Linked DNA regions of Astyanax mexicanus. The protein of the gene in region 1 purifies or fractionates together with the protein of each later gene. This does not show direct contact. Links are inferred from orthologs where the notes say so. Each region holds a gene or a part of one and is shown in the gene's direction. Other genes may lie near its edges.

Region 1 (5,806 bases):
ATAATGCAAAGAAAACAAGTTCATATTCATTCAGAAACAACAACAATACTAAAGTTTTATCTAAAAAAGAGTTCTGAATCAATAATTGGTAGAATAACCCACATTTTTTAATACAGCTTTCATGTGTCTCTGCATACTCTCCACTAGTCTTCCACACTGCTTTTGAGTGACCTTATGCCACTCCTGGCTCAAAAGCAGTTCAGATTTGTTTGATGTCAGATTGTCAGATTTGATTTTCATCCTCTTGATTATATTTTATAGGTTTTCAATGGGGATCAGGTCTGGAGATTGGGCTGGCCATGACACTGTCTTAATCTGGTGGTCCTTCATTGACACCTAGCTGTGTGGAATTAAGTATTGTCTCTTGATGTCATCCTGCGGTTGCTGACTGACATTCAGTTGACGGTCAATCTCCAGCCTGAACCCCATTGAAAAACCTATAATCATGTAGGATGTAAGTTGGTCACAAGCCATCAAACAAAGCTGAACTGCTTGAATTTTTGTACCAGGAGTGGTCACCCAAAAGTAGTGTGAAAAACTTGTGGAGAGCATGCCAAGAGGCATGAAAGCTGTGTTAAAAATCAGTGTACTTCCACCAAATAATGATTTCTGAATATTTTGAAACATTAGCATTGTTGTTTATAAATAATTATGAACTTGTTTTCTTTGCATTATTTAAGGTTTACAAGCACTGTACCTTTTTCATTATTTGGACCATTTCCCATTTTCTACAAATGCTCTAAATTACATTTGTATTGTAACTTATAATGGAAATTAAGTAAAACAGTACAATTGGTGTATAAGGCCCATTCTGAAGATTATCAGTGCAGCACTCTTTATTATGGGACAATGCAGTTTGGCAGAAATCACAATCACATTCAGTGCAGGAGGCCACACATTCATATCCTGCAGGTCAGTGCACCGTTTTTTTATCTTCCATGTGAGACAGTAATCTAATAACATCTAATATCAGTGGAACACAAATGGTAAGAAGACAAAGTGGGGTTGCTTGGTAAACACCATTGTATGTAGACACAAGCATAAAATTTACTTAGCCAAGTCATTCATATGTGAGATAAGATAAGACTTTATTAATCCACTAAAGCAAAATGAGTGTTCCAACAAAGTGCATGCACCTAACAACCATGTGCTGAATATAAAAAATAAAACAGTGAATGTGTATGTATGTTCATTGTCACTGTCACAAAAAAAGAATATCTCTATTGCTCCTGAGGTGCTGGATGTATGCTATAGGTATAGAAATCAGGTGAACAATTCAGGTTTTGACTATCAATAATACTATTGCTAATAATAGTTCTCCAAATCATCACTGAACATCAACAAATTTTGAATTTCATTTTGAAATCAAGGTACCAGAGTCTGGAGGAAGAGTGGAGAGACCACGAGCTGCTTGAGGTCTAATTTGAAGTTTCCACAATCAGTGATGGTTTGGCGAGTCATGTCATCTGCTGGTGTTGGTCCACTGTGTTCTATCAAGTCCAAAATCAATGTACTGTTTTCCTAGAAATCTTTCAGCACTTCATGCCTTTTCATCACTCATTTATGTTTAGTAAAATCAAGAAAGACCATATTTTATTTTTTATAAAAAAATATTTATGTTAAGTTAATTTTTTTATTTTTATAAAAAAAAAAAATATTTTTTTAGGAAATAGTTCAACTTAATAGAGATAAATTGTTGCTGTTAAAAATGCATTTTCCAATAAACGGAGTATTGGCAAAACTGGTTATAATGTTTATGTTAAGGCGGCGGGAGGTGGTGTCTGCAGCTGCTGAAAGTAACTAATAAAGTAACTTGTAAAGTAACTTAGTTACTTTTAAAATCAAGTAATCCATAAAGTAACTAAGTTACTTTTTAAAGGAGTAATTAGTAATCAGTAATCGGATTACTTTTTCAAAGTAACTATACCATCACTGGAAATAGCTTACTGAAGTAACTTTGATAAACTCAATAATATTCTATTATTATTTTTATTATTTTAGATGCACTAGTAAAGCATGAGTGTTTTTAAGGAACAGAAATCTGTAGATCTGATATTATTAATAGTAAATTGGATTGCTAGTATGATTAAATTGTTGATTAAAAAGACTGAAATTGTTTGCTATACTGTACTGCATATTACTGGATGTAATCACTGAACACGGAAACGACTCCTTGAGTGAACGGTTTGATTCATTGGAATTTACAGTTTGGTAGAGTCGGTTCGTTAGAATGAATCGAACTTGCCTTCACTATCAGGCGGGCGGGCGCGCGCGCTGGGTAACAACAGAAACCTCCCACTTCTCTCCGCGGCGGAGAGTCACGGGAGCTGGAAGTTTTTTGGCCGAAGCTGGAGGGAGGGGAGCGGTGCGGGGGAGCGCGGTCTGACCGAATAAGTCGAGTTTACTGCTGAAGCCTGGCTGCAGGCCTGGACTGGCTGACTGACTGAGAGTGGGTAACGTAGCTAGGTTAGCTACGCTAGCTGAGCTAACGGCGAGAGGAGGCATCTGGAGCGGGGAGGAGGGTTAGCCAGCGCGCTAGCTGTCTGAGGCTAACTGTGGAAGGGGAAGTGAGCGGCGGGGGAGGTGTGTGTCTGTGTGTGTGTTATCTTCCTCCACTCAAAACAGAGAGAGAGAGAGAGAGAGAGAGAGAGAGAGAAAGAGAGAGGGAGGACCAAGAGGACTGAGAGTTGACTGGCTTGAGCTTAGTTAGCTAACTAACACACCCACTTTAAGTCATTTTCCTAGTTTCACCGTTGTGTTTGGTGAAAATTAGCTAGTTAGCTTAGCCGAACTAGCTACCACGGCCGCCTGACTCGAGGCCAACTGCTTTTGACTGAGCGGGTGACCGTTAAAGGTGGAGCGGAGCGGGGCTCGCGCTGTTAGCCTGCTAGCTAGCTAGTTAAGCTAGGTTAGCTAACTATATCTAACTAACGAATCTCAGTCTCGTTAGTTGTTAACTGGCAGACAGCCTGCTAGCATTGGTAGCCAGCTAACTACCTAACAGTTAACGTACAGTTAAACTACAGTTAACTACATTAGCTAGCGAATTTTAACTAGTTAGCTTGCTTGCTAGTCACACATCCACCCCGTCACTCAGCTCTAGCCCGGGGAAGTGGTCTGAAAGAGGGCAGGCGTGGCTGGGTTTTCCGCTCTGGAGGAAACCCGAGGGACCGCCGCGATGGCTCCGAAGTGACCGCGGGCTGGAGCAGCGATGCGGGGCGAGCTGGAGGAGATGAGCAGCTAGAAGTTTGAGGGTCGTGTTTGTGTGATTTGGACTCTTCTGTACTGCTCCCCTCATTTCGGGGAAGGCAGAATCGTAGCTAGGGGGTAAGGATGAAGAAGTTTTCTCGAATGCCAAAGTCTGAAAGCGGGGGGCTCGGAGGCTCCTCGGGCTCCGGGTCCGGAACCGGGGGCAGCAACTTTATCGGGAGGGTGTTCGCCATCGGGAGATACCAGGTCACCGTGGACGAGCTGATCGCTGAAGGTATGGAAATGATTACTGTGAATAAAGTGTTATTTATTTCTTTGTTAGGTAAGCGTTAACACTTTACAATGAGGGTAACTTATGTTGAATTAACAGTACTTAACTACAACAGAATGTCTACAAATGAATTATAAAATATTATAAACATTTTGTAATCTTAAACAGTGTCTTTAATTAGTGTCAATTAATAATTAGTTGACAATTTAACAATGTTTATTATTGTCGTTAGTTAGTGTGATCCTTATTAAAGTAAAGTGTTGGCTAGATACCCTTTTCTTGTAGGAGTGGGCGATATGGCCCAAAAATATCATCACAATAATTCAGGGTATTTCTGCCATAATGATATAATTGGTGTAATGAAAAAAGCACAATGTTTAAAAAATAAATGGTGGTCCAGCTGAATTCGGTTCATGTAGCTTGCCATCAGCTGCCAGAGCCCTAAAAGAGCACAATTGGCCTTGCTTTCTCTGGGTGGGTAGATGGCGATCATCACTCCTAGGTTGATGACAGTCAGCACAAGGCGTCTGTGAGCTGATGTATCGGAATCCAAGTCACTGCGCTTTTGTTCAAGTGCGCTTTGATGCTACTCTGTAATACTTCATCAGCAGCAGCTCAAAAAGAGGCGTTGGCTGACTTCACATATATCAGAGGAGGCATGTGCTGGTCTTCACCCTCCTGGTGTTCGGGCATCAATCATAAAAGGGTGGGTCTTTATGAGTGGGTTGGGTAATTGGCATTGTAAATTGGGGAGAAAATGGGATAAAAAAAATTAGGAAAAACGACTGCCACAAAAGAAATATTAAAGCTTTATTTATTCATTTAGTAGAAACCAAAAAAATATTTGTAAACATATGTGTGTTATGAGTAAGAAGTAAATTACTAAGAACCTTATTTTGTAGTGTTGTAAAAATCAGTAACAAAAATCTACCACAAAAATAGTGCAGCATATTTACTGCATGCATATATAATGCAAACAACAAACAATTCAATGTAAATAGTAGAACTAATATAATTTTAAGAAGCTTTTAAGAACACCATGATATGGATATTTCTTTGTGTGAAAAAAAGTTATACGATATTATTGTCTACAGTACGGCACACTCCTATATTATAGTGTAGCAAAACTTTGGTAGCTATGAGCATCATGTCTGAGAGCATGTTGTTCAAACAGTCTTTTTCTGTTTCTTGTCTGTACTTGTAGGTTGACATGTTTTAATTTGCCTCACATGAAAATATCAGATGCGCTTAAGACAATGTCTATTTTAAAACTAGATATTGTGCGACCTTGGTGTCTAATGTCTCTAATCTAGTTTTTTCAGTGAGTACTTTATAATTATATTCATTGCAGTATGAAAAATATCCTGAAAGATAAGGAAGTGCTAGATCCTGTATGAAAATTACTTCATAGAATATGTGTGAACTATCAATTCCTAAAGTACAAATACAGGAACTGACACTGTCTTATCTGTCAGAAAAGTTGAGATACTGTAGCTGACATGATGCTGAAGAACTCACAAACAGTTCCATATTAAGAGCAGCCTGTACACCACCTAGTCCAGGCCACCAAAAATGTAGGTCTTTGTAGGAAAGCATGCTGAAGGCCTGTCACTGACCTTGGCCTTGGCCATAACAGTATGTGTCCATCCTGTTGTTTCAGTCCTCGGCACGTCAGCTGTAGAGAGAGCAAGGGGTTCACACAAGCAAGCACAGTCATCACAGGCCTCCCAAGGATACCCCGTTTCCGCAAAGCTTTAGATGAAGCCAGATGTACACCACCCTAGAGATTACTCAGTTGTCATTCAATGTTTGCTTAAAAGGGCCAGTTTTCTACAATATTTGCATTTTGTTTTGAGGCAGTTTATATTCTTTCTTTATCTCTTTAGAAATAAATGGCCTGTTTTGTGTTACTCTTTATATACATAAAATATTTTAATATATTTTCTGAGTGGTGGTCTTCTGATTGTGTTGTAATTTATTTAAAAACAGTCCTGCATGGCAGAAATGTTCTGTAATGTAGTAAAGTCTCTAAGTCCCCCATTGGGAACTACCTTCTTTATGGTTTCAGCTCCAACCAACATCTAACACACCCCTTGTAGTCAACTGAGAAGTTTGGAAGGCAGTAATTAGTTGGATCAGGTGGCTGGATTAGGGTTGTCTGAAATCTTTGGGAAGGTAGCCCTCCAGGAGCAGGATTGGTTTCGAGAATTCTACTGTTTGTGCTTCTTGCTTAAAAAGACATTCTGCCTTTTCGCACTTAATGCAGATCATCTTCCGATCTGTACTTCGGGCTTTTGTGCAATACAAGCTGCAGCTTTTTCCTTT
Region 2 (5,806 bases), on another chromosome or scaffold:
GAAATTATACATTTTTGGTTTATATTTGTGCATGGCATTTCGCAGTTTCCAGAAACAGTAGCATTATTCATAAGTTCAGGTGTTTAGCTAAGCTAGCTGCCTTAAGTTATTTTAGCTAGCGCCGTCGGCGCTGCGGTGTCACACCGTTTTCTGTCACCGTCGGAATTTTGTGACCAGTGCTCACGGTTATGAGCGTTCATTGGCAAAACGGAAGCTTTCTATACCTACACCTTACCCTCAGCCCTAAACTGAACCGTTTTGGCCAGTCGGGGTAAACATTAGAAACGAACACGTTTCGAATCGGCCAGTGCACCGGTCTGCTGAGAACTACTTGCCAGTGGTCACAAAATCTAGCGGTCACAGAAAACAGTGCAACACACGGTTGTGGTGTATGGGAGCTTATCCATTTTTAGCGTTATAGATCTAAACAACGTGCTGTACATGTAAGTGATTATAAGTGTGGGGTTTGGTTTAGTAGGCTTGTGTTGTTGTTGTTGTTGTTGTTATTATATATAAATATAGTAATTTATCGTTTGCTTTAAAACGTAAAATAATTATTTAAATATGTTTCTCAATGAATAGATTAGTCGACTAATCGAAAAAAATAATCGTTAGAATAATCGTTTAAAAAATAATCGTTAGGGACAGCCCTAGTTTCATTACTTTAAAGTAACATATATTAATAGAAACAATATGGTTTAGAGGCTCTTTAATATTGAATTTAAAAGCTGTACCGAGGCCCAATATGTTAAACTATATTTGATTTTGCAAGGTTAGTAAATGTTTAAGTCAATTAAGAAAGTCTCTCGACTAATGATATCAGATCGGTATGGGGTATCAACTTTTAAGTTAACTTCTGCCTCAGTATTGGAAGTGAAAAAGTGAAAAAAGTAATAAAAAAAAAATCACTGCATCCAATACAAAGCTATAACTACAGTACCAGGCATATTTGGACAAACCTTTCACCTCATAAAATGTTTTTCTTTATTTAATTGTAGATTAATAACAAACACATAAAAACAATTAAGGCACATATATGGAATTGGAGCTTAGTGCAAAGGAAAAACAGCAACTACTATTTAGCACCTTCAGGAACTCCTTTAAGACGCTAAGAAAACTATACCAGGTGACTCTACCTCATAAAGACACTGAAAAATACCAATTGTGCAGATCTGTCCTTAAAGCTAAACATGGAGGAATCTAAAATATGAAACATATTCTGGTCTGTTTAACAATCATATTCATGTACAGCTTTAATGATTTCAATATTAAATTTATAATGTAAAAATTGATTTGTATAATATTGCAATATTTTGAGATTAAATATTTAAGAAAAACAGTATTGAATACAAAACAATAAATCAACCTGTTATGGTTGTGATGATAATCGTTATTGTACATAATAATATGGATTTGTGGTGTAACCAGAGGGATAGTTTGAAACTAACTAGTAGTTATTAAGGACTTAGTAGAGACTTTACACACAAACTTAAGAAGGAACTTACGCAAAAGTGGTGCAATGTTCTCTAACTATAATTATGCTTTCATACTATGAGAGTTAAAATTGTTGATGTCGATGTTATATACGGAATTGTTTATAGTATCACAATCTATTGCTATATACCGAATCGTAACCCCTTCAAGTATCGTATCGCCAGGATCACAACACGCAGTCCTCAGTATTCAGTTGTTTTGCGGGCTTACCTTCACGGCGTGCTGCAGTGCGGGTTTGACAGCACCCATCAACGAGTCCTGAGCTAAAACCTCAAAAATACTCGGCCTGTCTTCCACTGCTGCTGCTGCTGCTGTGGTCAGATGTGCTCCTCTCTCCGCCATTCTGAGCGAGTTTACAGATAGATAACCTACTTAAACTTCAAAATTAGACTGTAAATCAGAGAATACTTCAGTTAGGAAGCGAACAGCGGTGTCTATAACCCACTCTGCGCTCAAAACAACCAGAACCGGGCGCCATAGTGGCCAAAGTACAGTGTAAACACTGTTTAACGCATGCCATTCTCTGCACCTCGGCGGTGCAACAACATGGCTGTTCCGTGTTTTTCCAAGAGCTCCCAACTTTCCGTTCCGGCCGCTCCATCTTCTTCCCCCCTCCGTCTACAGCTGTGGCAGTGAAAGCGGCCAGCAGCAGCAGCGGTTCACTCCAGCTCCGTTTACACCCGGATACCCTTTAAAATCCTCTCCGCTCCTGTTTCCGAGGTAGGGGCTTTTATTGTTGCTGTTTTGGACAGTCTGTTTATTTGCTGGCGAGGCGAGTTAAAAGGCCGATTTAACGAATGTCGTTCATTTTTCGTAGATGATAGCTAGCGATAGGTTAGCTTAGCAAGCTACCTAGCTAGTTAGCCTAGCCCAGATAACCTAACGTTAAACGGTCACACCCAGGGGTAATTGCTATGGGAGCCTCAAATATCGAGCTTAAATACATTATTTACACTGAATATACTGTGTTTTCTGTCTATGGGTAAATAAATAAACAGTGTTCTGTCTGAGAATGGAGCTGAACGGATATGAACGGATTCCTGGCCGGCCTGCTGTGTTTCGGATGTTCATTCTGATTAGATAAAGTTATTAAGACATATTAGACGTTTCTTTCATTTGTTTTCCAGCAGAATAAGCTTTATACTGAACATATATCTCTTTTTAAATTCACCATGACTATATTAACCTTCCTACCTGGCTAACATTACACCCATAGCCAAATATATAGTAAACTACTTATATATTTTCTTAATTTATTTAAGGGTTTTTTTTTTAAGAAACTTATTTACAAATCCTTTGGATTAATGATAATTATTGAAGAGTTTACATATCATTACACCATCAAATTTTTTTAATGCATAGATATACACGCATAACTATACACACATATATTCTTACAGGTCTGGAACATAAATAAGAGACCACTTAAAAATTATGTGTTTCTTTGATTCTACCAAATTGAAAACCTCTGAATTATAATCAAGAGGAAGATGAATAGTCACAAGACATCAAACCAAACTGAACTGCTTAAATTTTTGCACCAGGAGTGGCATAAAGTTATCCAAAATCAGTGTGTAAGACTGGTGGAGGAGAACATGCCAAGATGCATGAAAACTGTGATTAAAATCCAGCGTAATTCCACCAGATATTTATTTCTGAACTCTTAAAAATATGTAAATGAGCTTGTTCTCCTTGCATTATTTGAGGTCTAAGAGGTCTGCGTCTTTTTTGGTATTTTAGCCATTTCTCATTTTCTGCAAATAAATGACAATATTTACATTTGGAATTTAGGAGAAATGTTGTTTGTAGTTTATAGAATAAAACAACAAAGCTCGTTTAAATCGTACAACACATACAACTACTACAATATTAGAGCTTATGTCCTTTGTAAGTGTTAAATAAGTTACAGGGTTTGAAAGAGATTTCAGTAAATGTCCTATAAAACATATACAATAGGGTAGGTAGCGAGATAATTTGGCTATGGGTGTAACCTTAGCTAGATTTATGTTAAATCTATCATTCTTTTTTGCCAAACGGCTATTTTTTTGCATTATAAAAAAAAAACTTTCACAACATAAATTGAGACTCCTATTTGTGGTTACATATTTATTTGTATTATTTTAATGTGTGCTTTTCTCTGAAGTGAACTTGAACACCAATCAAAATGACAGACTCAAAGTATTTCACTACAAACAAAAAAGGTAAGGTTTTAACTTTGATTGACATTTATTTTTTCTCATTAATAAATCTGAATTAAACCTCACTCACACCTGGCATGGTAGTTTTATCTGGTCAGTGCTTTATGTTTTATTAACCTTACCCTACAATTATTATTTTCTATAGGAGAGATATTTGAACTGAAAGCTGAGTTAAACAATGAGAAGAAGGAGAAGAGGAAGGAAGCGGTGAAAAAAGTCATCGCTGCCATGACCGTGGGCAAGGATGTCAGGTATGATGGGTTTATTGGACACTGTTATTTAAATGCAGGGCAAGGATCATTTTCAGGGCAATAATGTCACGTGTTCTGTGAGCTATTTGCTTTATATGTTTTTTAATTGTTTGGGCCACAGACATCGCAGTTGTAATTTATTTATAATGATTCTGTAAGGAGAACGAAATTAATTTCTTTTTTTTCTTGGGGATTATTTGTTAGAAAAATGTTTAAATGAATCCCACACTGTGTAGGCTGTAATTTAGCTTAGCTTTAGCTCATTTTCATTTTGACTTATTATTTTGCACTGCAGTTGATGCTTTATTATTATTATTATTATTATTATTATCATTCCTTATTCTGTGACTATTAAACACTCTAGTCAATAATCAAGTAAAAGTGTTTCAAAGTGCTAGCATGTTTTTTTTTTTTGTTTTTTTTTTTCATTTGACTGTTTAAGTTTGTCTCTTTATTTAAAATAGATTATGAGGAGATTTGTATATTGCTGATGGTGGTGATCTTGATTTAAATCTATCCTGCCTCGTTCTTTCCTCTCTGTAGCTCTTTGTTCCCGGATGTGGTGAACTGCATGCAGACTGATAACTTGGAGCTGAAGAAACTGGTCTATCTATACCTGATGAACTATGCCAAGAGTCAGCCTGATATGGCCATTATGGCTGTCAACAGTTTTGTAAAGGCAAGTTTTTCTCTTGATATTAAAGAAGAGATGCTTAAAATGTGCTTATGCTATTTGCAACTTAACTCTCAATAGGTATTGCTTTAAACCACTTGCTTTAAACATTATAAACACATAGAGCATGTAGCTTTTCCTTTATCTTTCAAAATGATAGTGGCATTCTTCTTTAGAAATAACCCTAGGTTAAACATGTTCTGTGAGATTTAATGTCATAAATATTCCACTGTATTCTGTTGGTTTGGAGAAAGCTTGGAGAAACTTTTGGAAGCATTTAGGCTACATTTACATCACTAAACTGAAGTAGTCCAGCTCTGTTTTTATAAGCTGTAGATGAGAGCTGTTTTATTGCAAATTTGTTTCTCTAAAGCCTATTAAATATATAAGTGGTCAATATTGCAATTATTGTTTTAGGATCTGTATGGTCATCATGATTCACAGTGTAAAATTCTGAGTATGTCATTGTTTAATTCAGGTAGAAGATCCTATCTCTATTATTTTAAATTAATCTTGTTAATCACTACAGATGTCCTGTGGTGACATTACTGTGTGTCTGTCTTTTCCCTCAGGATTGTGAGGATCCTAATCCACTCATTCGAGCCCTGGCTGTGCGCACCATGGGCTGCATTCGTGTGGATAAGATTACAGAATACCTGTGTGAGCCTCTGAGGAAATGTCTGAAGGATGAAGACCCGTATGTGAGGAAGACTGCTGCTGTGTGTGTGGCCAAGCTGCATGACATCAATGCTCAGATGGTGGAGGACCAGGGCTTCTTGGACTCCCTTAGGGACCTTATTGCTGACTCTAACCCAATGGTTCGTAATTATGCTCGTTGTGTGCTAAACGTAAAAATTCATATGTTTTATGTATAGGTTAGCTGAAGTTAACATCGTGTGGGTTGCCAGATTGGCACATTTGCCAGATCTCTCATTTTCATGGCTGCAGCATGCTGTTTGCATGTTGTTGTGTTCTATACCTGGCAACCCAGAGTGTGGAAATGGGACTGGGGAAATTGCGGTAGGCAGACTTCTTTGTGCACAGTTCCAATAAGAAAATACTGACTGAAGCTCTGCTGACAAGAGCTGCCAGTGATTAAAGCCAGCATGTTTCCTTAATAACTGATGATACATCCTTACCATTATATCACTACAGAAAATATCATCCTTAATAGTTCCAAAGGTACCGTT
Region 3 (5,806 bases), on another chromosome or scaffold:
AATGTGTCTGAGAGCATCAGTTTTAAAGTTGTGAAGAGGTAGAGTTAATATACAGTAAATAAGCTCTATTTGAGTAATGTCCTTATTCATATTATTGCCAGAACTACTCACCTAAGTAAAATAAAGAATACGAAGAAAAAATGAAGGTCGGTCCATCCAAAAAAAAATCCAAAACTTTGAAAGTATCCACAAGTGCAATCACAAAGATGATCAAAGATCAGTTCATTAGTTTCCAGCCTCAGAAACAGCAAGTTAACAGCACATCAGATAAAAGCCCACCTAAATGTATTTTGAGTATTTCGGTTTGTTTAACACTGTTAACGGTTTACACCTTGATTCCTTTTGTGTTTCTTTATTGTCAGTGTTCATTTACATTGTAAGAAAATAAAAACTTTGAATGAGGAGATGTGTCCAAACTTTTGACCAGTGCTGAACATTTTCCGTGTTTTGTGAAGCCATCTAGTGGACCTTGCCCAATATTGCAGTCTGGTAGCATTTTGTCACGTGGACAAAATTGTTGGTACCCCCTTGGTAATGAAAGAAAAAAACACAATGGTCGCAGAAATAACTTGAATCTGACAAAAGTAATAATTAAAAATCTATAGAAATGAACTAATGGAAGTCACACATTGCTTTTCAACCATGCTTCAACTAAATTAAACTCATTAAACAGGCCTGGACAGAAATGATGGCTCTGCGGAAAATAACAGGTGTCTTCAATCTTGAAATCAGTCGGTGAGCCTATATATAGGGCTATAGACATAGTGGTTAATTTAAGAATGTGTCACATTTTTAAAATGCAATAATAACTAATACCAACGCATTCAGTTTGTGCAATAATCACAGTCTAAAATCATGCCGTTTAATATGATTTTTTAACAGCTGACTAAATCGTGGCTACACTACTGCTTGTCTTGTGGGTTAGGCATATCTATTTTGAAAGTTAAAAAGACCTGAAACTGTTTTTACTACACTATAATGTAGAACTGGTTAACTACTGTCTCTACCTAATTTGTAATTGGTCTGTCTGACACATTTGGCCTTCGGTTTGCTGGTTAAATTCCAGCCAATGGGAGCGCTCACTTGGCTGTATCTATGTAAACTTCACTGAGGAAAAGAATCCTCATTGGACATTTTTCCTTTTGGCGGTTCAAAGGCTTAACCATTTTGTTGCCAACCAAAATTGAACAAAGTAAAACAATAATTATTGTCCATGAAAATAATAAATACAAGCATAATTTGTTTTAACATTTAACATTAAACTTTGGTAAATGATTAACTATCAGTCAAAGAATTATTACTATCTGGTGGTATGTTAGATTTTTAGAAGCTACTCATGAACACTAGTCAAATCTCTTTAATGGCTTGGTCTCATCTATACATAAAAACAGATAAGTACAGGATACAAATGATATCTTTTGATGACAAAAACGTTATTTCCAGAGCATTCATAGTTTTAACCAAAGTCAAGCTATACCCGTAACCAAGCTCAGCCTGGACTCAACCCAAATGCACTGTGCCGAGTCCACACCTGAGCACAAACTGCAGTTCAGTACATAAGAACACGTTTACCAAGTCTGATTAAAGTTCTTAAAGTTCTGATTAAAGTTCTTAAAAACATATCCAATGCTGGTAGTGTAGCTCTTTAACCAGCATTTTTTCTGGATGAAGCTGGTCTTGAGCTGGGTTTTTTAGCAGGGGAGGAAAGAAATATAGTACTCTAGTTGTCAAATCTTATTTTATTTGATACAAACAGCTGTTTTATTCTGTTATGTCATGTGATTTTTTTGTTTGTTTTGCGTCCTTGGTATTGAGAAACTACTCAAGTGAATGCCAAGTGCCCGAATCGACCATGCTGGCTGGGAAAATCACCTCACACGTTTAAGCTCTGAAGAGAACTTGAAGGCAGAATAACAAGATTAGATTTAAACAAATATATATATATATATATTTCATTTCAGGCTTGAAATTTTAAATTAAAATTAAGATTATTAAGATATAACTTTCTTTATCCTAAACGGATTTTTTTTTGTTAGAATAACACAAAGTGAATTATTACATAAAAAGCTAGAGTAAAAATACCTAAAAGATAAACAATACACTGTGAAAAATCAGTTCACAGATCAGATACCATAATAAATGCACTTCTAACGGCGGTGTACCATTTCACAACTCACTAACTGCTATAATGCGAGCAATGTGTCGATTTGAGACACAGCCCTTTACCGTTGGCCCGTCATCCGGGTCCTTCGTCCTGCTGATGACTGCGCGGTGACGTCGGGGGGCTCAGGAATGGCGGCGCTGCTGAGGGAAGGAGCTCGAAACTTTACTAACAAACAGATCCGCGCATTTCTCTCCAGAGCCGACGCCTGCGCAGGCCGCTCGCTCCGCCGCTAGAAAACGAGCTCCCCGGTGAGAAGAGCGGAGTGCGAACCGCTGAGCGGCGGCGGGAGGCTGATAGTAATAGGACCGAGCCCGTCCGCGGATCCAGGAGTTTGATTAGCTGTTAGCCTGCCGTTAGCCTGTCGCTGCTAATGAGCTAACGGGCAGCCTCGGCAGCGCAGCGGAGACTAACGGGGACAGAGAGGCAGGAACAGCGCGGCTCTGCGGTCCGTACATTTCACCCGGGCGGGTCTGGAGTGAGCTGAGTAGCCGGGGGAGTAGAACTCGTCTTCAGTGGTGTGTTTTGGTCCGGGTCTGGTTCCGCTAGGCTGAGTTCTGGGACACCGCTCCGCTCTCTCTCTGTCGGTCTCCTGTAGTTCAGCTGTATGCCACCATGGAGAGTCTGACCCTGACCGATGTGGAGCAGAAATACTACTCGGATCTGTTCATCTACTGCGATGTGGACAACACCAAGAAAGTGGCCTCCAACGGGAAAGTGCTCGACCTTTTCCGGGCGGCCCAGCTCTCCAACGACGTGGTGCTGCAGGTGCAAGTTCCGCAGACTCACTGTCTCATACACACACACACAGCTTAAGAGCTAGCAGTGTCTCTCAGCCCTGCTCCTGCTCCTGGAGGCCCACTGCCCTCACAACATTAGTGCTTTTCCTCATATGAACACTTGCTAGCTAACCTAACACACCCACCTTAATAATAACCCCTACTGACAGGCTGTGAATCAGTTGATTAGCTAGATCAAGTTGGGTTAGGTGTGTGCTGAGAGCAGGGAAAACACTAGCTAGCTTACTAGCTAACTTAATGAACACTAGCTAAAAAGTGTAGGCTGTATTTTTTTTAAAGGACATTGGCTTAAGTATACTGCTAACTAACTGTAAAACCTTGCTTTTCGATGTTTTAACCCCTTAACAGGCCAGGATTTTTGTCAGTTTTCTGCGTGACATTAAGTTACACCCCTAAATCTTGAGGATTTCTATTCAATCATTACATAAAAAGCTTTCATGATCGATAAAGAACATTACTGAAAGGCAAAATTGTTATTGTAATAGAAAGTATAAAAACATATTTAAGTAAATCTGCTAATGTCAAACTATAATGTATACAATTATAAAATTGTCTCTGTACTGAACTTCATATTAAAATAATATTTTCCTGAATACAAATTAAACAGTTTATGTCCTCCAAACCTTCAGTTTCGTTATTTTTGTGTAGTATTTACGTCTATTTTCAAACATGCAGAATTTAGTTCGATTCCTGTTAATGATCTGTAATTCTTAAGTAGAGAGAAAATAAGCAGCTTTTCCAAATGTCCCATAGGATATTTTTAAATCTCTCAAATTTTCAGAATGTAAATAAGTTATTTTACTGCAGAAAAAAAGGTTTTTATCACCTACATCTGTAGCCTGTATACTCGTCAAGGCATGTTAAGGGGTTAATAGGTTGATTTAAATGTTGTGTCAGTTTTGAGGAATGCCAGTATAGCATTAGCTTTAAAAGGGACTGACTTGCTGGCTAGATGTAATGACAAGACTGGCTCCCCAAAAAAATCTAAGCTAGCTGATTGACTGACACAGGAGCCCAGGATCACTAGTCTATCGACTAAAGACGTGTTTGGGATCTGAAGTGTGTATATTTAAGGTGTTTAAAGTAGCTACAGGAGCTGTCGGATTAATGCGGGGTAGCAAAACGCAGTGCAAATCTATTTTGTGACAGAATTCAGGGTCAAAATGCAGCAAATCTCTCCCTATTCATTGACTACATTAGAGAAAGTTGAACAATGTGTTAATATGATATTTTTAATGTTTTAACCTTTCATCCCTTAGACTGAAGTATGATATTTAGTTAATGCTCTTGACTAATGTGCCCAAGGACTCCTCTTTTTCCAGAACAGCAGTTAAGCCTGGTCTTAGACTGTATTTTTCTTTTAATACAAAATACCATTTTAAATGCTGTGTAGTCTAAAACTAGTCTTAATCCCTGTCTGGGAAATTGCTAGTTGTTGGTGTAATGTGGTGTGTTTTCATGGCCATGGAATCAAATCATAGTTATTGAAATTAAAGCATTTTTGTTACCCACCCTGCAACACCAACCACATTAACTAACTGTTAGTTAATGTTGCTAGAAAGTGTTACTGCTGCAGATAACACAAATGTTGTAAATAACCCAAATAATAAATGTTTCTAATGGCACACTTTGTTACATTCAGCAAAATCAAAGTAATTTTGCACTTACATTTGCCTATATACAATTTAAATAGATATGAATTTCTTTCTATAGAGAATATGATAACTTGCTTGCAGAAAATAAACAAACCCGTTTCACCAAGGTTGCCTAAACCTTCGCATGAGGCTTTAGCTCAGAGTAAGCTTTCTGGCAGGCTTGATAGCTTTGCAGTGCTGATAATATCTCAATACTGTTACAGCTGGTTAACCACACTTATGATAATTCCAGCTATGCTAGACATATCACACAGATCTCACAGCGAGCTTAGACATCTACAGTGTATTGTATAAACAAGCAAAGTCCGTTTGTGGCCAAACATGGGCCCAAATAAAATAGTTTATATCTGGCTGATAGAAGGATGTTGAATAATGCCTGAAAGCTTAGACACAAACAAATATGTTAACATTTAACTCCATGTTTTTGTGGGTGGTCCAGAATAATATCTTTATGGTAAGAGTTGATTAAATAAAGTAGCAGGTATTCCAGGTTTCCAACTTAATCACACTTTTATACCCACTGTTATATACCATCAACAATAGAAATCAGATTTACCTTTACTTTTTACTGTTACAGGTTTTTGTCTATGTATTAATTTATAATACACTTGTTACACTTGAAAATAGACATACACTGTTATAGGAGTTGTAACAGACGAGAGAATCCAGTATTTCTTTTGTGAATAGATCTTCAATGATGATACAAAAACATTTATAAAGTTTTTAGAAATAAGTCTATCTTGATCAGCATTACAGAAAGCAGAACCATTGATTCTGTATAATTACAAATGCAGTAAAACTAATAAAATGCTGGCATTAAAATGCACTGTATAATGAATATTTTGTTATACTGGAGTTTAATAACTAGATAATTAAATATCAGCTTTACATATTAGTCAAATATAAACATCTGTCTGTGGTTGATTATATGTGTAAACACTTATCTTATAGTTATATGAATTCAAAATCATCATCATTATTCCTTCCTACTAGATTGTATCATCTGCTGACTTGACAGTTGCTTGGACATGTGAAAAGCAATCATGTGAGAACTGTCTAGCTTGACACTTCAACATCAGTGATAATAGAGTGACTTGCCAAAGTTGTTTTCAAAAAACAGACATTGTTTTGTAAATCCTATATTGAATAAGTATTTAATTATTAATGGACCTATAGTAATGCTCTCAAAT

Evidence for each region. The genes of interacting proteins can lie anywhere in the genome.
Region 2: the proteins of bmp2k (region 1) and ap2b1 purify together in Homo sapiens (affinity purification with mass spectrometry; 3 studies listed by BioGRID and IntAct, with this or other methods). This does not show direct contact. The link is inferred for Astyanax mexicanus from reciprocal best matches to the Homo sapiens genes BMP2K and AP2B1.
Region 3: the proteins of bmp2k (region 1) and reps1 purify together in Homo sapiens (affinity purification with mass spectrometry; 3 studies listed by BioGRID and IntAct, counting the BioPlex papers as one, with this or other methods). This does not show direct contact. The link is inferred for Astyanax mexicanus from reciprocal best matches to the Homo sapiens genes BMP2K and REPS1.

What each region holds. Positions count from the first base shown.
Region 1 is NC_064429.1:17,137,628-17,143,433, reverse strand, and holds the start of bmp2k (BMP-2-inducible protein kinase), read left to right. Parts: upstream 1-2,262; 5' UTR 2,263-3,333; coding exon 3,334-3,484; intron 3,485-5,806. UniProt on the Homo sapiens protein: May be involved in osteoblast differentiation.
Region 2 is NC_064408.1:29,622,510-29,628,315, forward strand, and holds the start of ap2b1 (AP-2 complex subunit beta), read left to right. Parts: upstream 1-2,087; 5' UTR 2,088-2,214; intron 2,215-3,637; 5' UTR 3,638-3,658; coding exon 3,659-3,695; intron 3,696-3,837; coding exon 3,838-3,943; intron 3,944-4,486; coding exon 4,487-4,622; intron 4,623-5,188; coding exon 5,189-5,434; intron 5,435-5,806. Other genes in the region: pex12 (peroxisome assembly protein 12), read right to left, coding at 1,705-1,836. UniProt on the Homo sapiens protein: Component of the adaptor protein complex 2 (AP-2). Adaptor protein complexes function in protein transport via transport vesicles in different membrane traffic pathways.
Region 3 is NC_064408.1:82,930,070-82,935,875, reverse strand, and holds the start of reps1 (ralBP1-associated Eps domain-containing protein 1), read left to right. Parts: upstream 1-2,268; 5' UTR 2,269-2,776; coding exon 2,777-2,929; intron 2,930-5,806. UniProt on the Homo sapiens protein: May coordinate the cellular actions of activated EGF receptors and Ral-GTPases.